5 linked regions of the Bombyx mori genome follow. The protein of the gene in region 3 interacts with the protein of the main gene of each other region in a pairwise test. Links are inferred from orthologs where the notes say so. Each region holds a gene or a part of one and is shown on either strand. Other genes may lie near its edges.

Region 1 (3,988 bases), on a different chromosome or scaffold from region 3:
CCAAGCGGAAAAGAGGACATATTGCGCGACCTCACATAGTTTGACAAGGGCAATTTTAACATACATCAGGACCATGATTGTTTTAAAAACAATAATAAAAGTACAAAAACATGACCTACCCACTCAATTCTAAAGTAATGCAAACAAACATTCAGATATCATTTTGGGTTAAAATAGTCAGCAAGTCAACAACATAGTGGATACAGTAATATTTTTGAAGATTATTACATACATCTATACCAATATATAACTCTACAGTGGTTTTTACGGGTGTTCCATTATAACTACTGAACCATGCATCCGATCGACTTGAAACTTAGTATCCATGTAGAAAATACATGTACTTAATGGACAGGGTAATATTTATATGAGTGTATGACTCCCTACACAAGTTGCGAGGGCGTTAATGATGAGAATCTTTGTGCGGGTGAGAAATAATAATGTTAATTTTAAATGCCTAGCGAAGTGAGTGGGTACAGCTAGTATGTACATGTTATATATATATACATTACATGTATATACATACATTACATGCATATTATTGTATACATTTGGACTATTACTAGTTTACTAATCGTATTTCTGTTTAAAGATACTTCTGCTTATGTGTTTCTTACAAGCCTTATTAGATTTATTGTGCTAATATGTACCGATTTCGGTTATTAAAATACAAACAGGCATACATATATACTAAAGCATTTGAATTGAGATAAAGTATAATGCATATCTAACTACAATCTCAAGTGTCTCAAGATAGAAATAGCATTTATGTTGCAATTTATTTTTATTTTTTGCTCTACAGCCTATAGTTATCACAGTGCATATGCAGCCTCTCGTCTGCCTGCACACAACAATAAAAAACGAACCATAAAATAAAAGCCCTATTGTTCATAATTGAGAAACCCATTTCTAATGATTAGAAACATAAATCCAGACATACACTGTTAAAACTTATCAAAGATAACATTTTAAATAGTATTTATTTATGTACAGATTTTGGTCTAAAATGTCTAAGTAGACATTTTAGACCAAAATCATTTTAACTAACAAAATGTAATAGACATTAGACCACACAAAAAGAACTACACAGGAATGATCAACAAAAATAGATTATTTATGAAGACAGATCAGACTTTGTTCTAGGAATATAAAAATATGATGCATTGCTGGTGCCATGAAAACCTGTGAAATAATTATAGGAAGCGTGTCTATCTACATACATAAATATTATCAATCCTTACAATGTTTTGTGGTATGTTCATTACTTTGTAACATATTGTTGTGTGAGCTGTTCTCATTATTGTACAGCTTGTATTGAATGTAATTCGGAATTAAAATTGACTTCAATGTTTTGTCAAAACAAATTTGTTACTACATTATTCACATGAAAGATCACTGACATTGTGATCAACATACTTCATCTATTTTTGTCTAGCAAAGAACCTAAGCAATACAACTACAACTTATCATATTCAATCATAGACCAGCAGAAATCTAAGCTGATATTTAATTTAGAAATGGAATTAGTAGTAAATAAAGTAAAGTATAATTGTAGTAATTCAGTACATAATTGTATTTATTATTTTGATTTTTTTTATCATTTATGTTGTATTTATCATTAATACTTGTATTTATTGTATAAATAAATATTTCCTTTCATGCCTCAACCAATACACCTGCTACGATCGAAATGTAAAATATAAATAAATTAAAATTAAACTCGTATTTTTTGAATTAATTTAGAGAAACACTCAGTCAAAAGTAAGCACTATATTCAACAACCTTAAGAGTCGATTTCCTATTTTATAGGTACCAGAAACACTCATTTAGGTTTTGAATATGCATGCACAGTATCTTAAAGATACTGACTAGCTGGAATTGAACTTGGATCCTTTATCACTATTGACAAGGTCACTACTACGTCAATAATGTTATATTATAAAAGTTTTCAATCTGGATTTAAAAAACCTACAATATGTTGTGTATACATTTCCATGATGAGTATTGAATGATAGAGTTGAAATGATATATTGATTTTTAAGACTTCACGTTATGTTCCCACAATAACTTTGGTATAGTTTTAGCTCCTTGTTCATTAATAATTGAATTTGTCTTTCATGACAGTGAATATTTAATTTTGAAGAAAATATATTTTTTTAATAAATATTATTCTTATTTTTTTTTATAGTTTTTCTTAAATGTTTATTATTAATGAGGAAAACCTCATATATTTATGTTATTCCTCTCGGTATTCTAAACAGGATACCAGGCGCACATGAATTGATACAATTTAATGAACTAGAAAACGCAGGCTTTATAAATAGAAGGCCAAAGGGCCAACGACTGCGGTCGGGCAAAATCATTCAATCGATGTGCAAATAATCATTTAAGCGGAAATACTTAACGGCGCTTTAAAACGCAAAATAATACTGTAATTTTTTTGTTTTTATTTTTAAATATTTTATTTCTTCATTCCTTTTAGTATACACTTATTTTAAGTTAATAATTAAAGGCATTTATTTTTTGTCCAAAAATATCCCTTCGAAGTGGTAAATGCATCCCCACCCTATACCCAGTAATGTGTTAACAGGAATGAATTTTGAAGTGAAATCTCTTTTGGATTTCCAAAAAACCTTCGACATTTATAACTTAAAGCATAAAAATTAACTCACCCCATTGTTTCTTTTCCTGCGGTCATTTAAAACACAAAATTAATGAAAATATTTTACTTCATATTTCCCTAATTTTTCACTTGAGATCTGTCATAAGCGTTCGGTACCCATAGACTAAAGACTAAAAGTCAATTGAACATAGCAAAATTCTACAGAATGTTTATGGATGGTACAAAAAATGACTCTATTCATAGTTTTTTAACATGAACTGTTTTATTACTACTTTAACAAAGTTATGTAAAAAAATCTTGTATTAATACATTTGTAAATACACGGTAGTCCATAAGCCACCTAATTTCTTAACATTTCATTCAACAATGACTTTACTACTGCACGCTAGATGTCACTGAACGTCTTGTCTGTTTTGTTAAAAGGCTTAACTATTTTTGTTTTTCTTGAAAATAATAATTATAAATAAAACATTTTCATTTTAAAATAGTGTGAATGGACCTGCCGTCCTTTACCACTTGAATCAGTCTTTAAGCATGGAAACAAAATAACCGAGCAACATTTTTTTTAATGCTCCTATGTTGATGTAGTACAACTACTCTTCACTAGATGTCACTAAATTAAAATTTGTTAAAAATTGGTTTGCTAATTAATCGTTAACAATTTAAAAAAATAGTAACGACAAGTCTTTGCGACTTTCTACTCTATTGGATATGACCCTTTGACAACTGAGATACCTAAGGACATTTCTTGTATATTAAGTGTAGTGCTGTACTGACATTCTCAACCCGTTTCGACCACACGCATTAAGTCATGGTGTAAGCTGAGTGAAAGTAATTGAGTTCACCAAATAAAAATAAAACCGTTCTGTAGATGTAAGAACTAAAAACTTATGTAACGCTGTAAAAGCCGGATCGACATTACATTACTCATTCGCTCACACTTGTAATTTATTAAAACAATTGAATTTAATTTTATTGAATTTCTTTGGATTTCGCGAGTTCTAGACATTATTAAAACTATTTTTACGGCTTAATCTCGCGTTTTTGCTGTCGTTATATTATTTCGGTAGCATCAGAAATTTCATTATAATTTTTTTGGGATCTTAACATATTTCTGAATCTTACTACGTAATGACATTATTAATTTACTGAAATCAATATATTATATCAGACAAATGTATCTATAACTAATCTTATTTTACTGTTACTCTGTCAAACCATCACAGGACTCATTGGCGTTAACTGATTGCCAAAAGCCGTAGAAGTCAAATATGACCCACCTTGAGATCGTCTAAGTCTCATAGGTATTGTATAAAGCCTTCCTCTTTCTCCCGCCAGAAAACTTTCAATTCACCCAACGATCGT
Region 2 (4,012 bases), on a different chromosome or scaffold from region 3:
TGTGTATTGTGAACCGTTTTCATAAGTGCTCACTGTTGATAACTTCTTAAAAATATATTTTCGTTATTGATGAACAAGATAGCTCATTCTTTTGAAGTGACTTTATTAAATTTGTAATAAGCAATTGCTGTGTGTTAGAATTTTACCTTTACACCTTTAACAGCACACTTTTAATTTTATTATGATTGTCTAATTTGGTTACTTATACACTAAAATGTTAGAATTACATTAGTTTTCTATAAAGTTACACGCCTTTTATCTTGTAATTAAGTAAACAAATGCATTATTTTTATTGTTTGGATAATGTTAAGCATCCTCAGTAAATCATTTATAGAATTTTATTAAGTACTGGTAACGACTGTACACAATGAAGTGTGTATTCGGGAACAACGGGCGCCCTTCATAGCCTTGCACGAGTTATTTATGTATGCGAGAGCATCATGTTCTTATTTCAAACACCATTTATTTTTAAATTCATAACATAAACTACTATTGGATTGAGGTACTTAGCATGCATTAGACAAAATTTTAACATAAACATTATCACAACGCACCTTTAAGCGCCAGGTACATAGGTGGAACCCGGTGACATAGGGAGTAAATTAACATAACTTCGTCCTTAGACTGTTTATAACACTGGTCATACCTCAAAATAAGACCTAAAACTTACTCACTATTATTAACAGCAAACATCACGAAACTAAATTAACTTTTATTTTAATATTGCGAATAGGAAATCACAGACGGTAATAAAATTATTGCCACACATTCAAACCAACCACAGTACACAACTTGACTTGAAGCCTATTGAAATGCGTTTACGAATGCGAGGTCTGTTTCTCTTTAAAATCTCATGCAAAATGTTGAGTGATCTGTGAGATTTCTGAACGAAATACAGAGAAAGTAAAATTCATAGAGAAAGAAAACTACCGAAAATTATTGCAATGATATGGTAATACCGTTAGTAAGTGAGAAGAGAATGTCAAATTTATATTTTTAGTCTATGTTCGACGTCAGGGTGTGGTAGAATTTAATTTCAGATATAGTGGTAAACATTTGCTCGGAATACGTTTTTGAAAACTCTTTGGTAGAATATCCTGGTATCAATCTCTTTATTTCATCGCCTGCGATCGTGCGCTTTAAACGTTTTTGAATCCAGTAAAGCAATAAGTGAAAATTAAGTAGAATTTTAACAATGGCAAATATAGCAGCCAAACGTATAAAAAGAGAGTTCAAAGAGATAATGAAAAGTGAAGAGGTATGGATAATAATTTAACTAAACTTTATATTTGTTTTGATGTTTAGAATGTAGAACTGGAGTTACTTGCACTTTTGTTAAAATGTCATATTTTGTTGGAATGCATTATTATTATTTAGATAGTTAAATTGCCCAAGAAACTAAATTGTTGGATTGTCTCGATATAATAAAACAAAGAACAAATAGCCAGTTCAGAACAATGTGTGCGTGATTCAGCAAACTTGTAGAAATCATGTTTTGTTTAAATTCAAAACGTTAATGCTATTTTTAATTCGTCGAAAAGGAATTATTTTACTGCTTCGTAATAGTAAAATTAGCTTTTCAAAATACATCTATAATGTTTTTCGTGATTCATACGAGAAAAAGTAAACATTTTGTTTTCTATATTTTCTACCAATGTTTTTAATAGAAACAATACTTATATTACCCACATTGATCTTTATAAGTAATTGAAGTTGTGTTTAAAATAAAATAAAAGATTTTATCCGATTTATGCCCAAGCAAAAGTATTTTTGGCTTATTTATCAAATCACAGTTATGACACTGGTGGCTTCAGGCAACCATTTACTTCCAAAAAGCCAGACATAGTACAGGTATTTTTACATTATTTTGGATTTATTCCCTCATTATTGATTGCCATTGAAATAGAACTTGTGTGTGGGGCACCAGCATCCCCTTGTATATGTGTTCAGCTTACCAAGTAGCAATATTTACACATAACATACCGAATTTTTTTAAATTAAATATCTGTAGCACTATTGTCATGGACAGATTGCCTTATTTATTGCAATTGTAAGAGCACACCTGCGTGCAATGCATGTAATACATTAATGTACCGAACATGATCCAGGCGATACTAAGCTAACAGCATTCATAATCCACATTTTGATTACAATAGTAATTGTCCTCATAAACATGAACTAGACGATGACCGAGCTTTGCTCGGTATTAATTTTTTTTTTGATAAATTGTCTTTCGGTTGGCTTAACAACGTCATCTGTGGAAATAACTTTAGTGTTATTGTGTCTTTAAACAATTATGAAAAATAGTATTATTATTCGCCAATATATGTCGGGAAGTCATAAAGTTGATTATCGATAAAGTTGATTATTGAAAACACAAGTAAAACAACATTTCCTAAAATAAATTCTAGCTAGATCGATTTATCGCTCCCTGAAATCCCATGTATACTAAATTTCATAAAAATCGTTGGAGCCATTTCCGAGATTCAGATTATATATATATACAAGAATTGCTTGTTTAAAGGTATAAGATTCTGTGTTTGTGTAGACTAAGAATATTAAATATCTCAGTCCTAGCCCAAACCCAGCAAAAACTGAATTTTTCATTAGACAAAGTTTTTGCACTTCCTGCAAGTATGTGCTCTCCAATTAGCAAGTATCTTTTACTGCCTAGGTTGTATCTGAAAGCTAGCATGTGTAGTAAGAAGGTTACTCCTACTTAAAATATCTGCACTGCATTAGCACCAAGGCCCAATTTTTGTTTATTTATATATAGTGTAGATTATTGGAACTATCTTCTTATTGAGATCCATATTAAGAGTTTTTCAGGAATACCATTCATTAAATTGAATTACCAGGGCTCTTGCATTTACTTTTCTTAACCTTCTGTACTGAAATAATATACTGTACAATGACACATTGTGTAATTGTGTTAGTCATATTTGTATATCTAAAAGTGCATACTTGCTGCATTGTAAGCTTGCACAATTTCTTATCTCTCTCTAACCTTTAGCTTCTGCACGGCTGCCCACTGAGATCTTCTAGCACCTCACATCTAAATGGAACAAATGTTTATGTTTCTGCAAATATAAACAGCAGGGAAAACAAAGAGGGTTGTAATTGCCAGGAGGAGTGGGATTTGCTAACAACTGCCTTAGCACCTCTAAAGAAAACCTGCCATCTCAAGGGCAATTGCTTCACGAATTCATCTTCTACCAGACCGGAATTGCGCCCCACTGAGAAGATCTGGCGAGAAATTTAGCAGGCTCTAAATGTTATAGAGGGTAGATTTACTTTGAACTCTGACGAGTTTGATGAGTTCGGTTAGCAGGGTTCCTATACTTGCTCCTAGTGTTAGAGTTGCAGGTATCTAATGCAAGAGTTATTGGATCAGATAGATCTGTAAGGACGTGTCTAGAACGTCAACGATGACTGACTCCTGTGTGAGTCTGTGGCGATATACTTGCTCCTAGAGTTAGAGTTGTAGGTATCTAATGCACGAGTTATTGGATCAGATAGATCTGTAAGGACGTGTCTAGGACGTCAACGATGACTGACTCCTGTATGAGTCTGTGGCGATGGTGGCGGATGTGATTTTCATCAAGATTCATTATCATTTCTTCAAGATCTACATATTGCGATGTAACATCATATTACTTATATCTCAATCAATTCTAGGGCTTTAACAGCCTTCATAAAAAGGAGGCTATTTATCAATTCAGCTCTGTTTTTTGTGTTAATTCAAAAGTTTTTCTCGGTCAACTGATTTTTATGATTCTTTTTTTTTTTATTATCAAATTTCAATTTTTATCGAAGTCTGAGCAGTCGTTTTTGAGTTATCCTTATTGATCTATATTTAATTGACATTGATTACATTGATCAAATTATCTCAAAATCAAAAAATGATCTAATTTTAATTTTTAAATTTGGTTTTCTTTTTTTTAATTTCGGTATCGTATTCATAAAGCTGTTTGGAACCCATTTTCGTCCTGAAATATGATTTCAATATAGG
Region 3 (3,396 bases):
ATTAACTTATTCTTAAAAAGTCGTCTATTTGTGTAAATTATTTTATTTATTGTAATCGAAATTGTAAAAAATATAAACCATAAATAATTTGTTTCTGTTATGAAATTATGTCCGTGTTTGATAATACATGGCTAATAAGATTAATCTGTCGAACAGGTGAATTTAATCCTAAACGACCAATACCTTGTGAGGCAGGATGTGGACTGGTGATACCAAAAGATGAATTAGCCCAACATAATTGTGTACGTGAGCTTAGAGCACTGATAGCCACTCAGCAGGGGAAGCTGAATGATTACCAGCAAGAACTGGCTGAACAGAGGCTCGTTATTAATGAGCACAAACGAGAATTGGCATTATTAAAGGTATGTTTTTTTACTATTTGTAGTTTTTTCTTAAATAACACATTCAATGTAGATTCTTTCTACCTACGTATTACCTACATAAAAAGAAATGTGAACTTTAACATTATGTTAATTTATATTTATAAATATCAGTTAACTTGTTAAAGTTTAAACATAACAAACAATAACTTGGTCTCCTTAAGTTAAAAAATTTCGATTAATCGAATTCTATAAAGCAACCATTAAAATGAGATGCGCAAATCTAACCACTTTTAAATCAGGAACATTTTCTTGAAGGAGTTCATGAGAGCGATGCGCGTGTCGAATCCAACGATGCGTGCATTGGCGGATCAGATGGAGCGCGAGGAGGTGGTGCGCTGGGCCAACTCACTGGCCAGGGCGAGGGTCACCAGGTGGGGTGGCATGATCTCTACTCCAGATGATGTTCTGCAGGTATTATGTACATTTTTTAATAAGATAAAAGTAATTCTCTATAATGTAAGAAAAATTCGTATCAGCTTGCATTATATACAGATCGCAACGCGAGTAGGTACATCGAATGTTTTAGGACTTTTCAAATAATACCTAATCTGGCCACATGGAATCTGGCCACATGGAATCATTGATTTTGAGTCTTTGAAAACCAAAAAATAAGCTATAAAATACTTACAAAAAGCAAGCTCTATAATAACTCACTAATATACTATAAATATAAATATTGAAATATAATGTGAATTTTACTAAAAAAATTGCAGACGAGATCCTTAAATTACACACAAATAACATACATTAGGTCTTTATCTACAAAATTGCTGTTTTACGATACTGACTAGGAACAAACACAAGCTTGTTGTGCCGATGAGTAGGTTACATAAGATAAGAAATTCATTCGGGTGTTTGTGCGCCTGTACAACAAAATCCCACAAGATGTTCAGAACCTACATATACATAGGTTTAAGAAAACTGTTAAAGAACATCTGTGCAATAAAGCTTACTATAAAGTCAATGATTATCTAGAAGATTGCACAAAGTGGGAATGAGTTGCTCGCTCCGGGCATTTCAATATTGTAGTAATTGTTACGTTATAATACTCATTGTAAAAAACTCATATTTAAAAAAAAAATGTAATATTAAAAAATTAATAAATAATAATTGCTTATTAAAAAAAAAAAAAAACATGCCCGCTGAGTTTCTTGCCAATTCTTCTCAGGACGGAGGCTAGTTCTTGTGAATTGGCGGTAGTTCTTTTGACGTTCAACAAGTATGTACTTTCATTTATGTTGAATAAAAAATTTTTGATTTGATTTGATTTGATTTGATTTGACCGCTATAAACCATAATTTATGTCTGGCTGGTAATAATTACTTAAATGAAATTAATTTGATTTTCAATATCAGTCATTTCTTTATTGATTAGTGTTTTCTTTTCACTACGTTTGTATATTTTTCATTAATATGAACGCTATAAAAATGCGAGTAATTATGGAATAGAATGTTGTATGTATGATACATTTGCTCGAAAAATATCCTCCGACCACCAGGTAACACCCAAAAATTTTCATATTCCATGCAAAGTTAATGCCTTGTAACTACCAGAAAGTGTTTTCACAATTTAGTTCGTTAACAGATGATGATCAAACGAAGTTTATCGGAATCCGGCTGTCCCCCGCACATCATAGACGATCTAATGGAAAATTGTCACGAGAGGCGGTGGCCGCCAGGACTGTCGTCACTTGAAACTAGACAAAATAATAGAAGGTACCGATTGCAATAATATCGAGATTTATTTCCAATGCTTAAGCGATCCATAATATTAAATAAAAAGAATAGGTAGTTTTAGTTTTTCGTATTTTTACATTTTGAATCTTGTATTGAGATATTGTCGAATAAAACAAAGTTATGCACCCTATGTTTATAATGTCATCATTAAAAATAACTGCAGATGTTTATGTTCAAAAAGGGGTTTGATGTGTCATGAGCCTTTCAGAAACTTTCATCTACTATAATTTTAATTTTGTCATATTTGAACATCATTAGAGACCTTTTGATTTTTTGCCAGAATTACATATTGATAATAAATAAAACATTATTCGAAGCTGTAGTTTTAAATAGCCCTTTTTTATTGCTTAGATGGGTGGACGAGTTCACAGCCATCCTGGTGTTAAGCGGTTACTGAAGCCCATAGACATCTACAAAGTAAATGCGCCACCCACCTTGAGACATAAGTTCTAAGGTCTCAATGTAGCTACAACGGCTGCCCCACCCTTTAAATCGAAACGCATTACTGCTTCACGTCAGAAATAGGCGGGGTGGTGGTACCTACCCGTGCGGACTCACAAGAGGTCCTGCCACCAGTAAAAATACCACAATAGCCTATCACACTGGCCCTATTATTTTTTTTAATGTTATAAAATTCACAGGCTATACGAAAAGTATGTTTGCAAGAGGGTGCCAGGCAAACAGGCGGTGCTGGTTCTTCATTGCGACAACACACACGTCGACGAGCACATGATGGTGGAGCCCGGGCTGGTCATGATATTCGCGCACGGAATCGAATAGCGGACTCTGAGGCGCTGCGTCGTGACGTCACGGCGCCCGCTCTACTGTACAGTGATCTTTCAATGAGTGTTCTGAATGTTGCTTACGCATAGGTGAATTTATTCCAACGTGGTAAAAGTCCTAAATTTTAGTGCGGTGCAATTGCAATGAATTCACTGTGCTCAGTGCGAGTTTCATAACGTTCTCGATAGCGTAAAAGTTAAGCCAATTTTGTATGCAGTTGGAACAGCGCCCCTAGCGGCAAACGTAGGCAAACGATCCCATTCCATACAAATATGAGCTAACTTTTACGCTATCGAGAACGTTAAAAAACTCTCACTAAGCACACAGAACTTACAGCGAAATTAGTTGCTAAAACTGTGCATTTAGCTCACGAAAAGCTATTACAATTAAGTGTTAAATTGTTGTTGAAGGGTTGACTATGCTGACAAGCATCTCACTCACTCCATACTGACACACGTGTTAATAGTAAAGTTGGTTTCTGGAACTTTTGCCTT
Region 4 (3,820 bases), on a different chromosome or scaffold from region 3:
GCTTTATAATATTAGTATACAAGTAGATTGTGCCAGTGCTGTTCATTTTGAGGGCTGTAACCATGAGATGATGAAACTGAGAAATCACTCATCATAACTGAATGCATATATTTTTAATATCTATGCTGCCCATTGAAGAGTTCCTTATTCAGAAACCAACCCTCAGCGCAGCAACACCATGTAACGATAAAATCTAAAATACACACATAATAAATGCGTACAACAAAATCTCATATCTATGCTGTGTACCTTTGAAGAGTTGCTTTACCTAAAGCTCATTTTTATGGTCATTGCTTACCATAAAAATACTCTCATCACTGAAATTGAACCAAGAAGTAAAAGTTCAACTCCGTATGATAAGTAGAGGTTTAATTTGCTACATTTGACCCAAACACGCAGATAAATGTATATACAGTAAAAGGTCCTTATTCACAGAATATATGTTTTGTAAGTTTTTTTTCCTACCTATGCTGATAGCCTTGAGAGGCTATTTCAGCTTCTCCTTGACGTGTAGGTGAGCTCACGGGGCTCAAACCGGGAGTGTTGCTAACACTGGCCCTAACAAGAGCAGTACTTCGCACAATTTACCACCGGATCGGAAATGCGACTCACTGAGAAGTTCCGGCGAGAAACTCAGTGGGCTATGTCTATGGGTTAATTTACTTCGTCGAGCCTTTCGTCGCGAGGACTGGTGCTTGAGGTACCTAAAAGCACCGCTAATGTATCCGGAGGATCCGTAATGAAGTGTGTTTAGGGCGACGTCGACTGTTTACCATCCGGTCCACTGGATCGGGTATTTCCGTAAATATGCTGCGAATACAGAAACCTTGAATAAGGAAAAGTACGTTTACAAAGGATATATATCACGCACACCGTGACACGAGAATTTTATAATATATTAGATCTTATATAGAATCTTGAATAATCAAAAAATTTAACAAAGCCCTGAAAAACATCTTAACTATTTACAAGGACTTGTTCCTAAAGTTTTCATTGATCAAATAAATTAATTATTAAATAAATAGTCTATTAAATAAAAACTATGAAACAGAATGATATGCTGTAAATCTCAACACCACAATTTTTATGTCAGTTTAAACGCTAAACTAATTAATATTCGTACGTATGTTGTTGCAGTTACTGGGAATCATTATACAACACTTTGTGGCCTCGGCTACAATATGTATTAAAACTGAACATTCAAAGCGTACGGGACTGCGACCCTTCTAAACTGTCAAACAAGGAAATGGGACCGCATTATGTAAATATTTACAATTTAAATTTCATTAGTATAAATTATTTTGCTTTAGATCTGGATTTATTGCCTACAATATAATTGGGTTTAATTGTATTAATACACCTCTAATTATTTTCTCTGCATTGCCTACGGTTGACTGGTAGAGAATGCCTTAGGCTTTTAGTCCGCGAATGTGTACAAATACATAGTGTAATAAATACAAAAAATATTATTATAAATTTGCTATGTTTCAAACTTAGTATCTTAAAATTGTGTAATCATTCCAGAAATATTCGTATATAAATAAATTGAAACAACTGTCATTATTTGAAATTATTTTACGATCTCATCTCGCTACGATGACGAAACCTTGAAAGTGGAATCTGGAATTCACAAAACTACATTTTTTTCACATTAAGAGTTCATATATGTAATAAATAAGTATGTTATATAATATTTATATAAGTCTTACATTCGTATTATTCATAAAGGAGTCCTAAGAACCTAGGTCATTCATAATGTTAATAACTGTAAAAGTATGAATTACTTGAAAACTTTCATTTTACAGATAACACGAAGGTACGCCGAATTTTCGGCAGCTATGCTGAGCCTCAGTGAACAATTCCCGTCTGAAGAACTCAGTAAACTTCTGACTGTACTTCAGGATGAAGTCCATTGTTTTTTACTTAAAATGGCTGCAGAGTTCCCTCAAAGAATACAACAGCTTATATTTTTAATTAATAATTACGACATGGTCCTCAGCATATTAATGGAAAGAACTAGAGACAACACAAAAGAAGCAGAAAGCTTCAGGGAACAATTACAGGGAAGAAGTTCAGAATATGTAGAAGAGATTCTCAGTCCACATTTTGGTGGAATGATACAGTTTGTCAAGGAATGTGAGCAATTGCTAGATGGTGATAAAAAGGCAGAATTAGCCGGATTAGAAAGAAAATCTCTATCCCTTGTAGCATCATTCAGTTCGGGATGGAAACAAAGTCTAGAAGAAATACATAGAGAAGTGCTAGTATCGTTTCCAAATCTAGTTACCGGGTCAGGTCTGTTGCAAATGGCGTTAACGAATTTCGTTCAATATTACCACAAATTTGTAAAACTTTTAACGCCCAGTGCCCGTACTCAATTAGTTAATATACATGTGATAATGGTAGAAATAAAAAAATATAAAACAAATTTTTAGAATCTTAGATTTCATTCCGACATGAGATCATATACATACACAAATACGTGATGATGATGATGATGATGATCATTACATGTAGTTGTTTATTTCCCAAATGGACGCATAAAATCAATCGAGTATTTCAGCACAATCAGTTTTAATGAAATAGTATTGCAATTCGAGCACTTGACATCATGTATATGACCTCTAATATATGTTTTATTTGTGAACTCTGGATTTTGTAGTAAATATATGTTTAATGTATGTATTACATACCATACATATTACATACCAAACCTTAATTATTCCTCGAATGTTTCCAACATACTTGTCTCCGCGATGGACATCTAAACTACTGAACCGATTTTAACTACCTTTTTTTTTAAATATGTGTTTTGTTCCAGCTTAGGTCCTATGATGGTTTTTATTTCGATTAATGCTCGCAATATTTATTAATTAACAATAAAATTATTTCTTATGTGGATTATTGTTATTAATTGTAAGTTTCATAAGTCTAAAACAGATGGCGCCTTAAACCAATTTTTACAGACAATTATAATACTGTCTGAAAATAATATGTCATAGATGGCGCTGTGTTAAAAATACCAACGTTTCACATAAGCTACAATTTAATGGCAACACCGCGTGTTGTTGAGGCTAAAGTATAAGTAAAATTCATTTCGTAGTAAACGCAATACAGTGAAATCCAATTGTTCTTACTTTGTTAATTTTTGGTATTAGCATAGCCAGCCACGTGTTATTTAGAAACAAAAACGTTAGCCACAGCAACGTGTGGCCGAGTCTGCTAGTATTAATATATTATTTAATAATTGGTGGCTATTAGAACAATGCTACGGTTAACTAAATAAACAAGATATTTATGAAATGTTTTATTTTCATCATCTTAAACCTACTCTGAACTTAAACAGAAAACTACAATCACAGTATTCAATCATAAATTGATAGGCCTCCATAAAATTCTTGTTAAGTGGATAAACAAACACAATAACTATAATGTTGATTTTGAAAATTTAACCAAAAGTATATATTATTGTAGTTTATTTAAATGCAAACTTGAGTTATGGGCCTTAGCCTAAATAGATTTACTTAAATAAAATTAACCTCACAGTTCTGTACAGTATATATAACTTAGTAATAAGATCACATTCCACTATAAAACTGTGAAACATTATCAACATTACAACTGACAACACAATTTATACAAGAGATATATTTACGGTCAAATGTAATAAAATAGCCAATTAAACTACTACTCACACACTATTTTCAAAACAGTATATTTTTCTACTATCTAATTTTGGCTAATGTAATTTTCCATGTTCTTAAAGGTTTCGACTTGACAAAGTCTCGCAAAGCATCTTCTAGTTCGGGTGAAATAGTTT
Region 5 (4,035 bases), on a different chromosome or scaffold from region 3:
ACAGTATCTATGAAAGCGAATAAATGGATACAATGAAATGGAGTCCTAGGGCGTGTCTTCTTGGGTTCTTTGGCTTATTTATTTTCTATTTCTATTTTAGATCATCAAGGTGTTGATACATTTTTGTTACAATTTGTATTTTACAGCCATGGATTTAACCTAAAAAACTTTACACGTATAGCGTTTGTTTCTTTTGCTTACATAAATTAGAAAAACATGTTTTGTTTTCTTTAATAGGGGTGTCAATTCTTTTCGAAAAATTTCGAACTTAAAAATCGATTCGATACTCTATCGAACCACATAAAAAATCGAGGTCTAAAACTTCGATTATTCAAGAAGCGGTTTTTTTCAGTTTGCATTCAGCTGGCAGTGACCCTGACTGCGCCGAGGGTTATGGGTTCGATTCCCACATCGGGCTAACATTAGTGTGATGAAAGGTTTATTGCCTGAGTGTTTATTATTTATATATCTATATTTTTAAACATATATAAGTATATATATCACTCTCTGATACCCATAGCACAGATAATCCCAATCTGGGGCCAGATGTCCCCTGCGTCATTTGTTCCCAGTTATTAATTATTTATTCCATCTGATCGTGCGGTGTATGGAGTATATAAATAAATAATTTACCAAATATGAAGACAGAAATGCAATTATCGCTTTCAGAGGAATAGTCACTAAAGGACTATTGTGTTTACCACAAGAACTAATGTTTAATTAATAGGAGAAAAATATAATAGAGATGAGATTGCTATGGATGTAGAATTGGAAAGTTCATCATTGAAAATAGTGCTAGTTCCAGAAAATTATGTGCGGTTTTTTTTATTGAGCTGCCAATTGGTTGCTTTTTTTAAGTTCTTATGTGGGTGTACGAGCCCACGGCCCACCTGGTGTTAAGTGGTTGCCGTAGTCCATAGACATCAACAACATAAATACCATCATCCACTTTGAGACATGAGTTTCGAATTTTAATTTTTATAGTACAATTGCTGCCCTACCCTTCAAACCGAAACTTAATACTGCGTCACGGCAGAAACAGGCAGAGTAGTGTCATTCACCCATGGGGGCTCACGAACAAGTACGTAAATTATAATTTTTGCGCATTAGATTTTTATTACACGATTAAAAATCGATCTTATTTGGCCAAAAATCAATGTCGGATCGGCCTCCGTAATTCTCGAAAATTTTCGGTACAAGCAAAGCGCAAGTCTACATAATATGTCATTGTCAATGTCAATTGTGGTACACCTATGTACATAGATTATACACTTCCTATGTATGTCTCAAGTATCTTTATGTAGGCTGTGACTAGAATAGAATTAAATAATAAACTTAGTTAAAGCACTGGAAGATATTTTTCTAGAATACGAAAGAAAATGTTTTTACGTTTTAGAAATTTACACCAGTTAAAAAAGTTTGTTAATGTAAACACATTAAACAAAAGATTCTCCCAAGAACCAGCAACTTCTGTTTCAAGTACAGATATCAGTATTAGTGACAATTGTGTACAAAAATTAAAAGAATTATGTAAAGAAAACGATACCTTTCTGAGGCTTTGTGTAGAAAGTGGTGGATGCTCTGGATTCCAGTATAAATTCAACTTAGACAATGTTGTTGATAGTGATGACAGGTATGTATTAGAGCAAAATATCGAAGTACTCTGCTATACAACTCACTTTTGATTGCATAAGATAGTGGCAGAATAAAAAGAATAAGAAAAGAGCTGTAACAAAACTCGTGGAAAGAATATTCAGTGCTATTATTTTAGAAATTAAGAAGCATTCTTGTCAAATATATAATATCATTTTTCAAACTCATTTTTCATTCTGTATAATAATAATAATGAATATTATATTGTAATATTATTCTTCATTTCTTTATCAATGTAGAAGACATTGTGTTTTCTTAATGGTCTAAATGAGAGACTTCAATCAGTCTGGACTAAATTCCTATATCCCAAAAATATACACAAGTACAACAAAAGTTACTAATATTATGATAACTTAATTAGGAAAATCAGGACCTTTTATTAGCAACAAATTTTTATCAAAGTAATTGCTTAGTCTTGATTGGTTAAATTCTCCTGCATTGGAGTTAAAATAATAGCAACTAATCAAACACTATGAAAACAAATAAATAACCTTTAAGAATAAAACTATACATTTTAAAAGAGAAAAATTCTATGAAAATAGTGCTGGACTTGTGGTATACTAGCTGTTACTTGCAATGCTTTGCTGTTTTTTTGTGTAATATGAAACTTATACTTTTAATAACCAATTATGTATTACAATCTTTTATATAATAATAATTTATTTATTAACCTTGAAAACATTTACACATAACAGTTTGCTAAAAACTCTTCACACTAGGCACTGCCTGTCTCATGGAGAGTTTTTAGATGAAAGGCCCAGGATTGAGTCGTGTGTAGTGCCATGGGAGATGCCTAAGTCCAACAGTGGAGTAAATAGGCTGCAAATGAAGTACTTATACAATCCAACTTCTTTGTCTCTCTCTCTCTCTCTCTCTCTCTCTCTAATATATATATAATAATTATATAAATAAGTATATAATTATATGAAGCATACAAACCATACTTGTAATATATTATAAATAGAATTTGCTTCTTAACCTTGCACATCTATACCAAATAATTTGATCTTTGATGAGACTGATCATAAAATTTGGAATGTAGATTATCAATGATACAGAAAAGCACAGAGAATACTGTCCGTTCAGAACAAGAAGCTGTTCTAGGGATATGTGATTTCTATTTATAGATTATAATTTCTTTTATTGCCCTTGTAGGTATACAAGCATACAGCCCACTTGATAGTGAATGGTTACCGTCACTCATGATCATCACTAATGCCAGGGGCAGAGCCAAGCCGCCGCCTATAATGCATGAAGCAGAGTGTAAAAGTTAGTAAAGAATAAATTGTTCATTATGTATCCATTCATTTATATTATAAATAAAATTAGTGTTAAAATAATTTTTTTCAATAATTGCCAATTTAATTTTTTTTGGGTTCTGAGCAAACATTTAGAGTATATTTTATGCTTGATTTGGTAAGCCAATACATCATAATTATTTTTTATGATCATCTTAATATTTTTATATGAATTTTTATGAAAGGAAAAAGAGTATAAAAAGCCGATACATCTTTTAGTATACTTTATTATAACATTCTCATTTTGTTGCTACTCTAATACAAAACCCTATAACCCTATTAACCCTATTACATACCACACCCTTGCCCCTTTTGCTTTAATATTCGTTTTTTTTGTCAATATTTTCTCTTGTTGAAAAATTATTTTAACGATGGAAACCGATGCATTAGCAGTAGTGACTTTTTAATAATGAGGACATCAAGATAGCTAGACGTAAAATGATTGGCTTCATTGGACATGACAGCCTAAAAAAAAATGCATTAATTTTTAGGGGCATTATGAAATGATGAATTTTTAATCTTCAAATTTACTTGAACTTTATTTTGTTATGTTTTTTTTTATAAGTTCAAGATATTCCAGTTGACGTTGTTTAAATATCAATCTCGTAATTTCTGAACTGAAAAAAAATACTACTATTCATTACTACATTTGCCAAAGTTAACATTTTTGCCAAAGGGCCTAAGGAATTTAAGGTTATGCTATTTAGTAATTCAATGTTTTTGTAATTGCATTGAATATGTACGGAAGCTCGCATTATTGTTTTAAGGAAATAGATGAAACAAAACTTCATTGACTAACCAAGTTTTTTTTTCAGGATATTTGAAAAAAATGGTGTCAAAGTGGTGGTTGATGAGACGTCACTTGAGTATATTAAAGGTTCAACAATAGATTATCACACTGAACTTATTAGGTCTGCTTTCCGAGTGCAACAGAACCCAAATGCAGATATAGGTTGCTCTTGCGGTGCTAGTTTTTCTATAAAAATTGATTGAAATGGCCATATTAAACCACTGTAAATTTTTTATGCAATTATGGAAAATAATTTAGTTAAGAAATGAATGATTAGATAGATTATAATATGTG

What was found.
Region 1: the proteins of E3 ubiquitin-protein ligase NRDP1 (region 3) and homer protein homolog 2 interact in binary tests that used the Homo sapiens proteins (3 or more experiments, as listed by UniProt). The link is inferred for Bombyx mori from reciprocal best matches to the Homo sapiens genes RNF41 and HOMER2.
Region 2: the proteins of E3 ubiquitin-protein ligase NRDP1 (region 3) and Ubcd4 interact in binary tests that used the Homo sapiens proteins (3 or more experiments, as listed by UniProt). The link is inferred for Bombyx mori from reciprocal best matches to the Homo sapiens genes RNF41 and UBE2K.
Region 4: the proteins of E3 ubiquitin-protein ligase NRDP1 (region 3) and vacuolar protein sorting-associated protein 52 homolog interact in binary tests that used the Homo sapiens proteins (3 or more experiments, as listed by UniProt). The link is inferred for Bombyx mori from reciprocal best matches to the Homo sapiens genes RNF41 and VPS52.
Region 5: the proteins of E3 ubiquitin-protein ligase NRDP1 (region 3) and uncharacterized protein LOC101736064 interact in binary tests that used the Homo sapiens proteins (3 or more experiments, as listed by UniProt). The link is inferred for Bombyx mori from reciprocal best matches to the Homo sapiens genes RNF41 and ISCA2.

Annotation. Positions count from the first base shown.
Region 1 is NC_085134.1:1,990,125-1,994,112, reverse strand, and holds the start of homer protein homolog 2, read right to left. Parts: upstream 2,811-3,988; 5' UTR 2,699-2,810; coding exon 2,673-2,698; intron 1-2,672. UniProt on the Homo sapiens protein: Postsynaptic density scaffolding protein. Binds and cross-links cytoplasmic regions of GRM1, GRM5, ITPR1, DNM3, RYR1, RYR2, SHANK1 and SHANK3.
Region 2 is NC_085107.1:6,308,550-6,312,561, forward strand, and holds the start of Ubcd4 (ubiquitin conjugating enzyme 4), read left to right. Parts: upstream 1-1,195; coding exon 1,196-1,258; intron 1,259-4,012. UniProt on the Homo sapiens protein: Accepts ubiquitin from the E1 complex and catalyzes its covalent attachment to other proteins. In vitro, in the presence or in the absence of BRCA1-BARD1 E3 ubiquitin-protein ligase complex, catalyzes the synthesis of 'Lys-48'-linked polyubiquitin chains.
Region 3 is NC_085128.1:13,449,087-13,452,482, forward strand, and holds part of E3 ubiquitin-protein ligase NRDP1, read left to right. Parts: exon of another isoform or gene 1-156; coding exon 157-362; exon of another isoform or gene 363-638; coding exon 639-797; intron 798-1,011; exon of another isoform or gene 1,012-1,967; coding exon 1,968-2,098; intron 2,099-2,760; coding exon 2,761-2,899; 3' UTR 2,900-3,396. UniProt on the Homo sapiens protein: Acts as E3 ubiquitin-protein ligase and regulates the degradation of target proteins. Polyubiquitinates MYD88. Negatively regulates MYD88-dependent production of pro-inflammatory cytokines.
Region 4 is NC_085110.1:11,273,505-11,277,324, forward strand, and holds the end of vacuolar protein sorting-associated protein 52 homolog, read left to right. Parts: intron 1-1,137; coding exon 1,138-1,261; intron 1,262-1,805; coding exon 1,806-2,435; 3' UTR 2,436-3,303; downstream 3,304-3,820. Other genes in the region: uncharacterized protein LOC101744334, read right to left, coding at 3,726-3,820. UniProt on the Homo sapiens protein: Acts as a component of the GARP complex that is involved in retrograde transport from early and late endosomes to the trans-Golgi network (TGN).
Region 5 is NC_085109.1:8,402,492-8,406,526, forward strand, and holds the start of uncharacterized protein LOC101736064, read left to right. Parts: upstream 1-1,231; 5' UTR 1,232-1,379; coding exon 1,380-1,633; intron 1,634-3,766; coding exon 3,767-3,944; 3' UTR 3,945-4,035. UniProt on the Homo sapiens protein: Involved in the maturation of mitochondrial 4Fe-4S proteins functioning late in the iron-sulfur cluster assembly pathway. May be involved in the binding of an intermediate of Fe/S cluster assembly.